2 linked regions of the Astyanax mexicanus genome follow. Each later gene encodes a partner of the first gene's protein in a complex. Links are inferred from orthologs where the notes say so. Each region holds a gene or a part of one and is shown on either strand. Other genes may lie near its edges.

Region 1 (6,924 bases):
AACACACATACACACACAGGGGGGAGCGCTGAAACACGGGTATAAAACGCCCCCGTTTGTCGCGGTCTAGAGGGATTCAGATCCGAGTGGAAAATGGTAGGTTTATCTTAACACTCGAGACTCGGGGCAGAGCGCTAAGCCGAGCCGCTATATCCGCACAATCACAGCACCCTAAACATCTACCAGCCAGACATCTGAACACAACGATACACTGCCGCGATCTGACCGTCCACCTTCCAGCTCACTGCGCTACACAGGATTTATAATGTGCACTGGACACGCCACGGTAATGCAGCAGCAGCACAGCATTAACAGGCCCGTATATGACAGAGAAAAAGAGCACGACTGGACGGCTCTTCTGTATATATAAAGAGCTGGGGGCTAGTGCACTGTACACGCACAAAACGCGATCTGTGCGGGGCTCAGTTTGGGTGTGATAGCTGCGTGAAAAATAAAAATGGCCGAGTGAACACCAAGTTAGGGTGTTAGCTAGCTACCATCCCCCTCCCACCTCCACCGCCCCCCAGCCTTGCCACCACCTCCCCACCCCCATTTCTCTCTGTGTGTGCATGATTCGCTCAAATCATAGCTAACGCTACATAACCCACAACCCACAATCACTAGAAGGCCTGCTGCTGTACGGTTCACCTTGAATATGGAAGCCAATCATAGCAACTATACATAGATAACGTTACACAGAATTATGATGAGGATCTTGTCAATTACATACCACAGTGAGTTCTGCTCCAATTAAACTAACGTTAAATGAGAGCAAAACTGTAATAATGCAATGTACAGTCAGAAAGGGCTTTAGGCTGTTGAATACACAAGCTAATGCATCAAAAATAGTAGTTAACCTAGCTAGGATAAATCTCAGCAATAGACTAGCTAGCAAGCTAACTAGCTAAGAAGCCTCTCTGTGTGATATCAGGCTACAGAACGAGGCACACGCACACACACCTACCCACCCTGTCTTTTACACAAAACGCAAAAAGCTTAAACATGACGAGAAAGGCATGGCCATATAGCTAATTAGCTAGCTAAAATGTACATCATTTAAATGAACTTCTAGCTAGTAAGCTAACTAGCTAGGTCAGCTAGGTTAGGTTAGCTAACCTAGCTAACCTATCTAGCTACCCACCCTGTATTTTACATAAAACGCAAAAAGCTTGAAAAGGAACAGAAAGACATGGCCATATAGCTAACCTAGTCAGCTAAAGTGTACAAATACTAGCTCCTAGCTAGTAGAATAGTTTAGCTAACCTAGCTAAGCTAGCGTTTGTACAGCAGAATGGTGTGGCCCCGAGATAATAATGTACAGGCTGCAGTAGTTACATAGTTAGCTAAAGGGATGGACAATTATTTAATATCAACATACATATAAAGAAAATGTGTCAATAATGGTGGTATGATGATTTTAAATAACTAGATTAGCTAGCTACATGTCTAGCATTTTAATATATAGGGTTAAGCTATCGTTGGATAATTTACTGCATCTGTCACTGACGTTCATTAACTACAGAAATAGGCAAATCCATTTTTCATGAGTTCACAGGTTCCATAGCTAGCTAACGTTACGTTTTATGTATTTGTTTTCTGTGGCTTTTAACTGCTTGTATAGACTGAAATGTTGTCACTCATTGAGACCAAAGACAAAAATTTGGCCATATCGCCCAACCCTAACTCTGTTGGTTACAGTGAGTGAGAGCGGCTCGGCTTCAGCACCATGTTATACCGAACAGCACGACCGACCGCAGCCAGGCAGGCGTTTCCTCCCCCCAAACCGAGCCGAGCAGGCGCGTCGATCGGTTAGCTAACTAGCTAGTTAACCTAGTACATACAGTGAATGTGTGACATTCTTCATAATATGGCGGACCTTAGCTAGCTAACCTAGGCAAGCTACTAAAAAATGTTTGCGTGCATGTAGGCTAGCTAACTAGCTTTTTTTTGCGTGACTGTGTGTGTATATGCTTGTGTGTGCGCGCGCATGCTCGCGTCCAAGACACACACACTTTAAAAACCGAGAAATCTGATTTACACCATGGCACTTACTTCATTTGTTTCACGATGGTGCTTTTACCAGACTCCCCAGCTCCTGTAAGACACAAGAGACAGGAGGGAATCAGGACTGTAGTTATATGGTAATATTATAAAAAAAAAAAAACATGAAATCAGGATAAATCCTAAAATTATAAACGTGTAGCCGCATATAGAGAACGATATGTAACTTAGCTAGGTGAGGTTAATTATGTTAACGTCAGATTGATCTCTGAGCAAAGACTAAAGATTAGAGACTAGGTCCACTCCCTCCCACCCTCCCACCCATCCATCCACCCAGTAAAGAGGGAGAAAAGAGAAGGTGCGTTAACCAGCCTTACCCAGCAGCAGCAGTTTGACATCCTTGGCCGCAGTGATTCCATCCTCTTTCAGGTTTTTCTCGATGGCTTTGCTCCTATCCAGAGCCGCTCTCTCTTCGGCGCTCAGTGTACATCCCATGACTAGGCGGACCGCAGGCTCTTTCTTTCAGCTCCGAAACCGGCGAGAAGCGACGTGCGAGGGGGGGAAGCGAGCGAGCACTCCGTGGTTTATTTTTTATTTCACCTCGAGATTTCTTCCCTATCTATCTCCTCTACCTTTCTCTCCTAGCGCTCTCTCTCTCTCTCTTTCTCTCTCTTTCTCTCCCTCTTTCTCTCTCTCTCACTCACACTCTCTCTTTCACTCGCTCACTCACAACGACGGCTCTAGCTATAGCATTAAAAGAAGCAGAAAAATCCCGCAAAACGACACGAAGACACGCAGCCTGGTGGAGATAACCTAACCTAGCTGTATAAGGAGCTGCTTCTGCTGCTGCTGTAGGTGAACCGGCTCGGCTCTCCGTCTCTCTTGGTCGTGTCGGTGGTTCCTCGGGCGGAGGGGGAGCGGTGGAGGGGAGGGGGTCTATCTATCTAGCTCTATCTGTCCTTTTCTACTGGGCGGCGGCGGCAGCAGCGGCGGTAGTGGCGGTGGAGGCGGAGGCGAAGACGGCGACGGCTGCTAGCATCGTTTAGCTCTGCTCACAATGGAGGGTCAGCGAGGAGAGAGAGAGAGCGCGCGAGCGAGAGAGCGAGCGGGAGCGCGCGCGCCGAGCACGTTAGTTACGTGTTTTTTTTTTGTTTTTTTTTTAACCTCCCCTTGCTTTTTCCCGCCCGTTTTCCGACAAGCCCCGCCTCCCCCGTGCTGTGATTGGACAGCGGTTTAAGCGTCGGGATTGGCTGGTCTTTCTTTCACACTAATATGTATAGCTGAGCCAGGCTTTGACATTTGCTTGTCAGAGCAGACAGCCAATCGTATAGCTCAGAAAACCGAGAAGAATAACCAATCAGAAAAAGGCAAAGGATAGAGCGAGAAAAATGAAAAACGAAAACAGGTGGGAAACGAAAAAACCGTATCCTCCACAGTGACGTCAGAACTGAAGAGCGAGCGCGAGCAGCATCCCCGTTCGTTAAATAAACGCTAAGCTAAAAATCCTGCACCAAGGTTTTCTTCTGTACAAAGATACAGAAGAAGAAAAAATTAGCCCCTCAAGCCCCACAGATTCGCAGTAAGGAGCATTGTGTTCACTAGCTGGTCACTAAATCAACGCGTTTGACCGATTTAGAGCGAAAGAGCGACTGAGAGGAAGAGAGGAATCACGACAAGGTGTGGCCAACAGCAGAGCTAATGCTAATGACCTGCAAAATCAACACACGAAACAAACAAATAAATAAATAAATCCGAGCAAAAGCGTCAAATTCAACAGCTGGCCATCTTGCCTTCGTCACATCCTCCCTCCACTCTCATGTGAGGCAGCGTTTAAATGTCAGCATGCTTTCTGAAATACAGACACTTCAGCTGTGGTGGTGAAAGTGAAACAGCTTATAGTAATAAAAGAACGAATATGTATGTATTATTTTACAGGACTCAGACACACAGTTTGCAGACAATTAGGTGAAGTTAGTTTAAAGGACCAATATGTAGTATTTGTATTTTCACCACTAACCCAATAAATTATATCTGTGGCATCACATGTTAAGGAAAAAATCCTTAAAGTTAAATCACTGGCCTATCTTTACAGCAGTGCTTTAGCTTGGTTCGATAATCTATTCTTTGCTGAATTGTCCAAGATAAAATTGAAATCTGTTTCTTTTTCTGATGCAGATATTATCTTATGTACAAGTGTTTACTCCTGTGGCTTTAAAACCCACAGACTTCTTTTCCATTTCAGCTGAAGCACCAAAACAACACAGTCTGTCTGTAGCTTTGCAGTACTGTTTTAAAAAATATCTGAATTTGTGTGGACAGGCCTTGTCTGTGGGGACTATTACTTGTACAAAGTCCTGCATATATTTGTCCAATATTTTAATTAAATCAAATTTAAAGTATTTCACACGTTTCACATCCACAATCTTGTTAAAACTCAGGCAAAACAGTGTCTCAGGCAAACATAGATTTTTTAGAGGTACACTTAAAATAGAGGGATGTAAAATCGACTGTAACCACTATATTAACCATCATTGCTTAATGTGTAGTTTGAGTGTTGTATGGGCATTTTCTTTATAACATTCATAAACTATTGCTAATAGTTTGTCTCATTTGCTATCTAGCTAAATTTTCTTTTTCAACATAAATGGTGCAACAGATGACAGGGGCTACAGCATTTAAGATGGAAATAGGGAAAGAAAAGCAAATAAAAACTAATTACAGGGGAAGGGGAGGAGTTACACTTAGAAACAGGGGCTAGGGGTACATATTAGAAATTGGATTGGGCCACAGTGTGCTGCTGCCTCTATGCAAGTAAAAATTGGCATAACGTTGGAAACTTTGGACACTTTAAGGGTTTACATTAGCAAATAAACTTACACAGTACAACTGATTTTGTTTGTTAATCGGGTGCATCTAAAAAAAATTATATAATCAAAAACTTAAACAAATTCAACAATTTAGAGCAGCACTTCATGCTTTCCTCCAATGACAAGCTTTATAGAGATGCAGCTTTCATTTCCCAACAGGACAAGAAAAGCTCAAATACCTCCAGGTCAGTTCCAACACCAAAGCTATTTTAATAAATGTTCACAATTGACAAAAAAAATCTGGGGTCAAATATAGTCCATAAATATAGCACTCTGCTAACTAGTAAACGCTTGCCCCTTAAATATCAGTCCCAAACACAAAATTGATCCTGACTCTCAGCACTACAGTAAGGTCTGTAAAGCCCCCAACAGTTTGACTGGCTCACAACAGCTTCAATTTGGTAGATTCTTCTACAGGTGACTCTACCTGCCCTTTAAACCTGTAGCCCCGCCTCTTCTCTAATTAGACCATACCAATGTTACAGGTAGGGGTAACTGTAAAGTATACACACATACATACATACACACACACACACACATATTAATGTCAGCATTATTTACAGCTGTACATACTTTAAGACATGTCTCTGAATGGTAAGCATTATCACATATTTTTTGTACCTTTAACTCTAACTTAAATCTTTTCATTCCCACAGGTGTTCCAGAAAGGAGTTCCCTCCCATCCTGTAGTAAATCCGGACCCCCGAAGAATCTTCAAGAACCGGAGCTAAATGGCCGCCATTTCCTTAGGAATCCCCAAGGATAACCAGATGCACCTGTAGCAAGGTTCTTACACCACAATCTGGGGAGGAGGCGGTGGGACAGACAGCTCCCTCCAATAAATTAAAATCAGCCTAAGGTACTTTTTTTTTTTTTTTTTTTTTTTTTTTTTTTAGCATTTTGCATGCTTGCTGTAGTTAAGTACATATTGTTCATTTAAATGTCAGCCTGCTTTTTGGAATCAAGCCAGTTCTGCAGTGTAGAAAGTGAAACATCTAAAAACATATCTGCAATGAATGTTTCACATGACCCAGTTACACAGTTTGCAGATAATGAGTGAAAGAAAGGTTAAAATAAACATTTGACACCCTGATTCAGAGCAAAAGCTGAATGCAGTTCAGAAGAATAGGAAACTTTGGTTAATCACCTCACATTACGCTGAACGTTTCACATTGTACTGGCCCTGACACCCACATTAAACACCTGACTGCTAACTGCTGACTGCTTATTAAGTTTTCAGGGCCTTTCTGGAGCGAGGTATTCCGTTTTTGCAAGACACTGCAATAAAAGTGATGAAATTACTAAAACGAAGATCATTATTTTTCTGTCGTTTGCAAACCTTGCTAAAAACATCAAAATGACTGATTGGTGAGGTTATTCGGTCCAGACAATGACAAACATTTGAATGCAATTAATAAAATGGATCCATATGAGTTGTCTCTGTGATCCAGCCTGGCTTCCTATGAATAAGAATAAACAGTACATCAGTGTTTTCCATTTCTGGACTTTAATAGATATTTAATAGAGCAGGATTTTTCTTTGTTTAGCCAGATAACTTAAGTTCAAAGTTAAGCCCAATAAGTTTGTACCCAGAATCTGCACAGCAGAGACCAAAGACGGTTCTAGACTCACCTCCTTAATTGTTAGATCCCCACACTTCTCACAGAACAGGTGTTCTAGGGCCAATTCCATTTTGCCCCTTCTCTCTACCAATTAGCCCAAAAAAATGCAAATACCTCACTTCAGTTCTTTGTCACCAAGAGCTTTAAAAAAGAGTGGATGAGAAAGAATAATTCTTCAGCATTCAGCTTCACCTCTCAAAATGTGTACAGGTTTGGGTGTTCTCAAATCGTCCCCTTAAGTATCACTTCATGATTAATGTACTTTATATACTGCTATCCCAATATTCTTTATATGCTTTTGGAATGTCAGGCATATACTTTTTATTTTAGACCAAAACAAGTATGTCAGCCAGTCAAGTATGTTACCACTCAAGACTTTTAATCTTCACTTTATATAAAAGTGAGGAATAAAGTGGTGGCCCAATCATTGGGAG
Region 2 (6,926 bases), on another chromosome or scaffold:
TGCGGAGCCTTCAGCGCCCGGCTGGTGAACACGGCGATCACCGCCAGCAGGTTACCAGAAACAGTCAGGAGGAAGAGCAGGACTACAAGCACCACCAGTGACGCCTGCATCAAGGGTGACGCCCCTCCGCCCTCCATTGCAATGGTCATATTTTCACACCCCATAGCTGAGAGCTTTTACATCAGTCTTGGTTTGGATCACAGGTGGTGTCGAGTCCACAAAATAAAGCACAATATAAAAACAGGTGGGTGTTCAGTTCATGCTGGAGAGTGTTCCCTCCACGCCGTTACAGGACTCTGAGCACTGGAGAGACCGCATAATACTTTGGGATATTGCTTGACCCTGAAAATAAATAATAATAAGAACAATAAATAAATAAACAACCCACTGGAATTACTGGAATTAATTTAAGGCATTTCAGAATTTAGAAGAGGTTGTTAAAAACAAACTTAAACTACAGGAACCGTGCTGGTTGCTGGTGCTCTGAGTGAACAGTAGTGCTCTAAAAAGGATTAAAGTAAATAAGATTAAAGCTTACCAGCTCAAATCAATCCAGCAGAACTTGATTGATGATCCAGAGTAGAAAATAAGAAAAAAAAAAACAAACAAACAGTAAAATCACTCAGAGCTGTAAACGAGAACCCGGCTGCAGCTCTCACTTTACGCTCAGTCGCCTTCAGAGCCGCTCGCGCCGCGTCTGGGTCTGTTTAATCACATTAGCCTGCTGTGTGTGCAACAGTGCGCCTGTGTGTGAGAGTGAGAGAAACAGAGAGAGAGAGAGAGAGAAAGTCGGTGTGTGCGTAATGCACTTCCTCTTCTCTCTGTGTGTCGACCACTCCCTCCGCCACACCAGCCTGGAGCAGGAGCGCGTGGGAACCAAGAAAAATACATGAGGGTTTCAGAGCACTACACTCCTTCATCATCATCATCATCATCATCAGCTCCTCCTCCTCCTACTCTCTTCTCCTCATCCTGCTGTTGCTACACCCTCGCTTTATCTCTCCTCATCCTATTGTTTCTTTTCCTCGTCAACTTTCTGCTGCTCCTCCTCATAAACTGTTTTTCTCTTTACCTTCTAATATTTTGCTCCTCTTTGGCTTTCCCTTCCTCTTTGGTTCCTCCCTAACAAATCTCCTCCTGCTATTGATCCTCCACCTGTTGCTGCTCCTTATCAACACAACCTACTCCTCAACTCTCCACTTCATTAATTCTCCTCCTCTTTGCTTCCCATTGTTGCTCTTCAACTCTTCTCCTCCTCCTCATTCTACTATTGTTGCTCCTCCTCATAAACTGTCTTTCTCTTTACCTCCTAATATTTTGCTCCTCTTTGGCTTTCCTTTCCTCTTTCATGAAAACTTTCACTGCTCCTCATCATCAGTTTCTCCTTAACAAATCTCCTCCACCTGTTGCTCCTTATCATCAACCCCACCTTCTCAACTTTCCACTTCATTAATTCTCCTCCCCTTTGCATCCCAATTTTGCTTCTCAACTCTCCTCCTCCTACAAATAATCTCTTCTCCTCATTTTACGTGCATCTCTGCTACTGATTACTGCTCTTCATCATCTACTTCCCTTCTCCTATTGCTCCTCTTCGCTTTTTACTGTTGCTCTTCTTCAACTCTCCTCATCATACACTCCATCAACATCAATTCCCCTCATTTCTCACTTTCCTTGTTATTGTTCTGTTGCTCCTCCTCATCAACCCCACCTACTCCTCAACTCTCCACCTAATTAATTCTCCTCCTCTTTGCTTCCCAATGTTGCTCCTCAACTCTTCTCTGCTATTGATCCTCCTCCTATTGCTGCTCCGTTAACTCTTCTTCTCCTGTTGGTTGTTTTCTATTGTTGAACCTCTTCATTAAATCTCCTCCTTCTACTACTACTCCTTTATTTCTCCTCCTTTTCACTTCATACTGTTGCTCTTTTACTCTCCTCTTTCACCTCCTCCTCATCTCTCACTATTGTCCTATGGCCTATACCTGCTCCTCTTTAACAACTCCTACTCTTTAATTCTCCTCCTCTCTACCTCCTACTGCTTCCTCTTTATTAATTTCTCTCCTCTTCATAACCATTGTTTTTCTTTAAGTCTTCAAACTTTTCTCCTTTGTTTCTGATGCTACTCCCCCAAAACTTCTCCTTAGTCTCTCCTCTCTCCCTCTATACTTCTTGCATATCTAACCTGGAGGAGCCTGTTATAGCATGTAGGAAACTGCAGGAGTTTAATTCAGCATGTAGAAACATGTGGGAACTTGTAGGGACCTGTGGGAGCCTGCTCAAGCCTGTGGCAGCCTGCAGAAACCTGTAGTTTCTTTGGAAACTTGTAGGAGCCTTTCAGAACCTGTAGAAATCTGTCGGATCCTTTAGGAACCTGTGGAAGCCTGTAGTAACCTGGTAGAGCCTGTAGGAACCTGTTAAAGCCTGTAGGAAACTGGTAGAGCCTGTCAGAACCTGTAGGATCCTTTAGGAACGCTTGTAAGCTTGTAGGAATCTGTGGGAGTCTGATAGAGACTGTAAGAACATGTGGGAGCCTGGTAAAGATTATGTGGACCTGGTGGAGCCTGTAGGAAAATGTGAAAGCCTGATAAAACCTTTAGGAACCTGTGGGAACCTTTTAGAGCTTGTGAAAAACCTGCTGGAACCTGGTAACGACTGTAGGAACCTTTAGATTTCTGTGAAAACTTGTAGGAGACTGTAAGAGCCTGTAGGATCCTGTAAGAACCTGTAGAAACCTGTGGCAGCCTGCATGAACCTGTAGGATCCTGTAGTAACCTGTAAGAATATGTGGCAGCCTGCATGATCCTGTAGTAACCTGTAGAAACCTGTGGCAGCCTGCATGAACCTGTAGGATTCTGTAGTAACCTGTAGGATCCTGTAGAAATCTGTGGCAGCCTGCATGATCCTGGGGGAGGCTGCTGTAGGAAACAAATTGAATTAATGAAATATAAAAGCCTCTACAGCAAACTCTGCCCTGAACATCAAACACTCGCTCTGTTTACACTGGAAACAATATTAAACCGAACCCGTGTTTCAGAACGAGCTGCTCATATTACCGACAGCAGACCTGCAGCACAAGCACACAGCGCCGCCTGCCGGCCACTGCCTGCATTACAGCAGCACTGAGTTACAGCATTCCTGACCCACAGAGATCTGCTATATGACAATACATAACAGAAATGACATCATATAGATATAAACAAATACAAATCGTATCCAAAATATACTTCCATATTCAAGCATATGTAACATATATACTAACTAAATCAAATTGATATTTTCAAGTATGGGACCTATACGTAGCCATATATAACCAAACATTACACATATATACAAACAGGTGTGACACACATATTTAACAATATAATAATACAAATAATTTAAGTAACAAAAAATTGTTGGGTCATTTTGGAGAATTTCTTTTAGTCCATCCATCGTGTCATTTAACACAATGTAAAGAAAAACTGCCAATAAATGCCCCCATTTTCAGACATACATATTTATTATAAATACACATTATTTGTAATATTTAATTTTGTTTACTACATGTGCAGATTTACCTACACATTTAAACTTGTTTAGCATATTTATAAGACTTTATAATACACACAAACATCTTTTGCAGCTTAATTATTTTTTATTTTAACTTTTTTTCTGTTCTTAATGCATTCATCCTTTTATGGAAAACTGTACAACAGGGAGGGCAATTTTACTGATATTGGTATTTTAGTTCCTACAATTCTTTTAATTACCTTCATATTTAACTACGACAGGGTGGACAGCCCTCTCTCCGCTAATACAAAGCCAATATGATCAATATTTAGTTCAATTAATATTATTAATTGCTGAACATGCAGCAGTGTCTTCAGCTTCTTGAAAATATAATATTATGAATGTTGTGATTTCATTTATGTTAAAGGTTACCTGTATAAAGGGGCGGAGTTACTCTAAGACGGAAGGGTGGACAGTTTCTGAACATGTGGAAATAGCTTAATATATATATATATTTTCATGTAAACAGCTAAATAATAATAATAAAAAAATGTAAATGCACAAATTATTATTTTTTACTTATTTCTAATTTTATCTTATTTTGTCCCCAATTTAGAAGGTCAATTACCCCACCCACTCACTGGAGCTTCCTCCATCACTAGGAGGGTGAAGACCAGCACACGCCTCCTCCAATCCTGTGAAGTCAGACTCCGCATCTTTTCACCTGCTGCTGCAGCATCACAGAGTATCCAGCCCAGACTCTGGAGGAAAGCGCAGCGACCATACAGCTCTTACACAACAGCTAACAGACGCCTGTGCTGAACATCAACAATAACCCTCCAGCTATAGGGGGATATGAGTGGTAGATCAGTGGGGGTTTGGCACCAATTACCTGCTGGATCACTAGCTGTGGTGAACAGTGACCACAAGACCAGCCTGATGTTCTGATCCAGCCACAACCTCACTACACTTCAGTTCACAGTTTAATTCTTACAAAAGTGTCTAAAAGTGAGAGAAAATGAACAGAATAGAAAACTGAATAAAAGAGAATAAGAGAGAGGTGGAAGGCAAATGTATGAAACAACGAATGTGTAAAGATTAATGCGCAAGAAAAAATGGAAAATAAAATGAAAAAGTTAAAGAATGGAAGAGAGAACTAAAGATTAAGAGGAGTGAATGAATGGAGGAGGGAGAAAGTTTGAGAAAGAACAGAAGAGTCAACAAAAATTGAGAGAATGGAAGAATGAAAAAGAGGAATTAGAATGATATAAATATTGGAATGGAAGGAGGGAGAGATAGAGAGGGAAAAGAGAGGTAGAGATAGTGGGGAGAGAGATAGAGGGGAGAGGTTAAGAGGGAGCGATAGAAAGAGAGAGAAGAGATACAGGGGTGAGATAAACCCTTTATAAAGGTAGTCTTATTTTAAAGTGGTACCGAGAGATGCTCCAGTTTAAGGTCAGTAGTATCTGATTTAGAGATTCTTCAGAAAAGTAAAAGTTATTTTTTTACAGATATAAAATCTTCACTTTTTCTCCATCAGTAAAAGAGTAAATCCACTCCACACACTGAAGAGTAAGAATAATCACAGAGTCTGCAGGTGAGCTGACGACCCGCTCCTTCTCTCCTTTATTGATTTTCTGATAAACGCTCCTCCGTCATCCCTCACTCCCGCCTCCCTCAGAAAGCCCCTCAGGAATGGCACATTAACATGGAAAAGGAGGAAGAAAAGAAAGAAAAGGGAACATGGATGCGGATCGGGACACGGCCGTGCTGCTGTGTTCCTAATGCACGTTTCACTCCAACAACTCGAAGGCATTTATTATTATCATCACTGAACAATAATCAGAACCAGAACTCCATTTCGCCAACAGCTAACTGCAGTTACACAAAAGAGGAACTCGTGAATGTACAGGTCTGTTTTTTCCTTTTCTAAGCTTTTATACAAAACCAGGAATGCCTCTGGCGAATCGGCAAGCGGGAACAGAAAAAAGCCCTTTTTACAATTGTTTACTTTTTAAAGTCTTTGTTTGTTTTTTAGTTTTTCTTCTTCAGTCTGTGCTGCTGCTGTTTTTTAACGCCAGGCTCGAGTTTTTTGCGCCGGGTTGGTCGTGTAGCTCTTTGTCTCTGCTGGGGAGCGTTGTTTTACAGCGTCGTTTTTATGTTTGTGTTCGTGTGTGTGTGTGTGTGTGTGTGTGTGTGTGTGTGTGTATATATTTGTGTATACATATATATGAAATGTCCATGAACGCAGAGACAGGTTGTGCCCTTTCCCGTCGTGGACCGATGCTGTTGTCGCCGCCGCGGACTCCTCCCGGAAAATGAAAGCAAGTAAAGAGAGTAAAGAAAAACAGTACAGTCGTGACGACACTTTTAAAAGGCTTAAAAAAAGAAGGGTTGGCTGATGAATAGATAAAGGAGTGGGACTCTTCTTCTTTTGTAAAATGCACAGTATGAAGACAATTTCATTCTTATAAAAAAAAGGATAAAACAAAAAGACATTCGTCAAACATCGAGGGTCGCAAATTCAAAATTCAATACTTTGCAAAACAAAGCAGTTATAATAATACCGAAGATATGGGATTTTTCTTAAAAAATAAAATTACATAAACACACACCAAACAGACTTTTCAGACGTACGGCTTAAAATCAAAAATATTTAATAAAAGGGTTGATAGAATAAAAAGAAATTTCTGCTTTTTTTCCCCCATTTAAATCTGCTGAGGCAAAACTCATCGTATTCATTTGACAACAAGATAAACCATAACCTGATAGAGTGATCAAATAAAGCATAAAATACTTACACACACTATCAGATTAAAAATGCCTTAAAATCAGAAACATCGGAGCCGACCCCCTTAATAAAGTCGAGCAGGACGCCACAATTCATTTACAAAGTGCATTTAAAAAAAAAAGAAAAAAGAAGGAAAATAATAAAAACGTATCGAGAGTCGTAAATAGTGTGCACTAGTTTTAGCAAGGATGGAAAAGAAACTGAAGGATAAAAAGTTTGGTAAAGTTAAAAATCGGGCTGCGTTCCAGTATGAACTTCTGTACTGCCTAGAGCACTCGGCTGGAGTGCACATCTCCGGCCACCAGGAACACAAGCACACAAACTAGAACCTCACACAGAGCACCATAAAACTGAAGTTACTACGGCTGCGTCCCAAACCACATACTGCCATACTCAGCAACACGTCTAAATAGTACTCTCATCTGTACAGTACGGTACGGTCTTATAGAGTTTACTGCTGCGTCCAAAACCACACACTTATACCATGCACCGCACCACGCAACAGGCCGAGGCTGCGTCCCAAACCACATTCACAACCACCGTACTGAAAGTAGTACACACTGCATAGTACATACAGCTCTGGAAAAAATAAGAGAGCACTTGAAAATAATGAGAAAACCTCTGGAATATAATCAAGAGGAAGATGGAT

The links. Proteins that work in one complex are often made in the same cells at the same time.
Region 2: the proteins of gnao1a (region 1) and adra2a are in contact, whole or in part, in a cryo-EM structure (PDB 7W6P), measured with the Homo sapiens proteins. The link is inferred for Astyanax mexicanus from reciprocal best matches to the Homo sapiens genes GNAO1 and ADRA2A. Residues at the interface, in NP_066268.1 of Homo sapiens: Ile28, Lys32, Lys193, Asn194, Leu195, Asp218, Phe336, Thr340, Asp341, Ile343, Ile344, Ala345, Asn347, Leu348, Gly350, Cys351, Gly352, Leu353, Tyr354; in NP_000672.3 of Homo sapiens: Arg77, Arg146, Ser149, Ile150, Ala153, Ile154, Asn157, Leu158, Arg160, Pro162, Ile234, Ala238, Arg241, Arg383, Arg386, Phe387, Val390, Leu391, Phe444, Asn445, His446.

Annotation. Positions count from the first base shown.
Region 1 is NC_064416.1:26,265,338-26,272,261, reverse strand, and holds the start of gnao1a (guanine nucleotide binding protein (G protein), alpha activating activity polypeptide O, a), read right to left. Parts: upstream 3,016-6,924; 5' UTR 2,497-3,015; coding exon 2,379-2,496; intron 2,096-2,378; coding exon 2,053-2,095; intron 1-2,052. UniProt on the Homo sapiens protein: Guanine nucleotide-binding proteins (G proteins) function as transducers downstream of G protein-coupled receptors (GPCRs) in numerous signaling cascades.
Region 2 is NC_064430.1:22,226,218-22,233,143, reverse strand, and holds the start of adra2a (alpha-2A adrenergic receptor), read right to left. Parts: upstream 3,017-6,926; 5' UTR 539-3,016; intron 343-538; 5' UTR 165-342; coding exon 1-164. UniProt on the Homo sapiens protein: Alpha-2 adrenergic receptors mediate the catecholamine-induced inhibition of adenylate cyclase through the action of G proteins.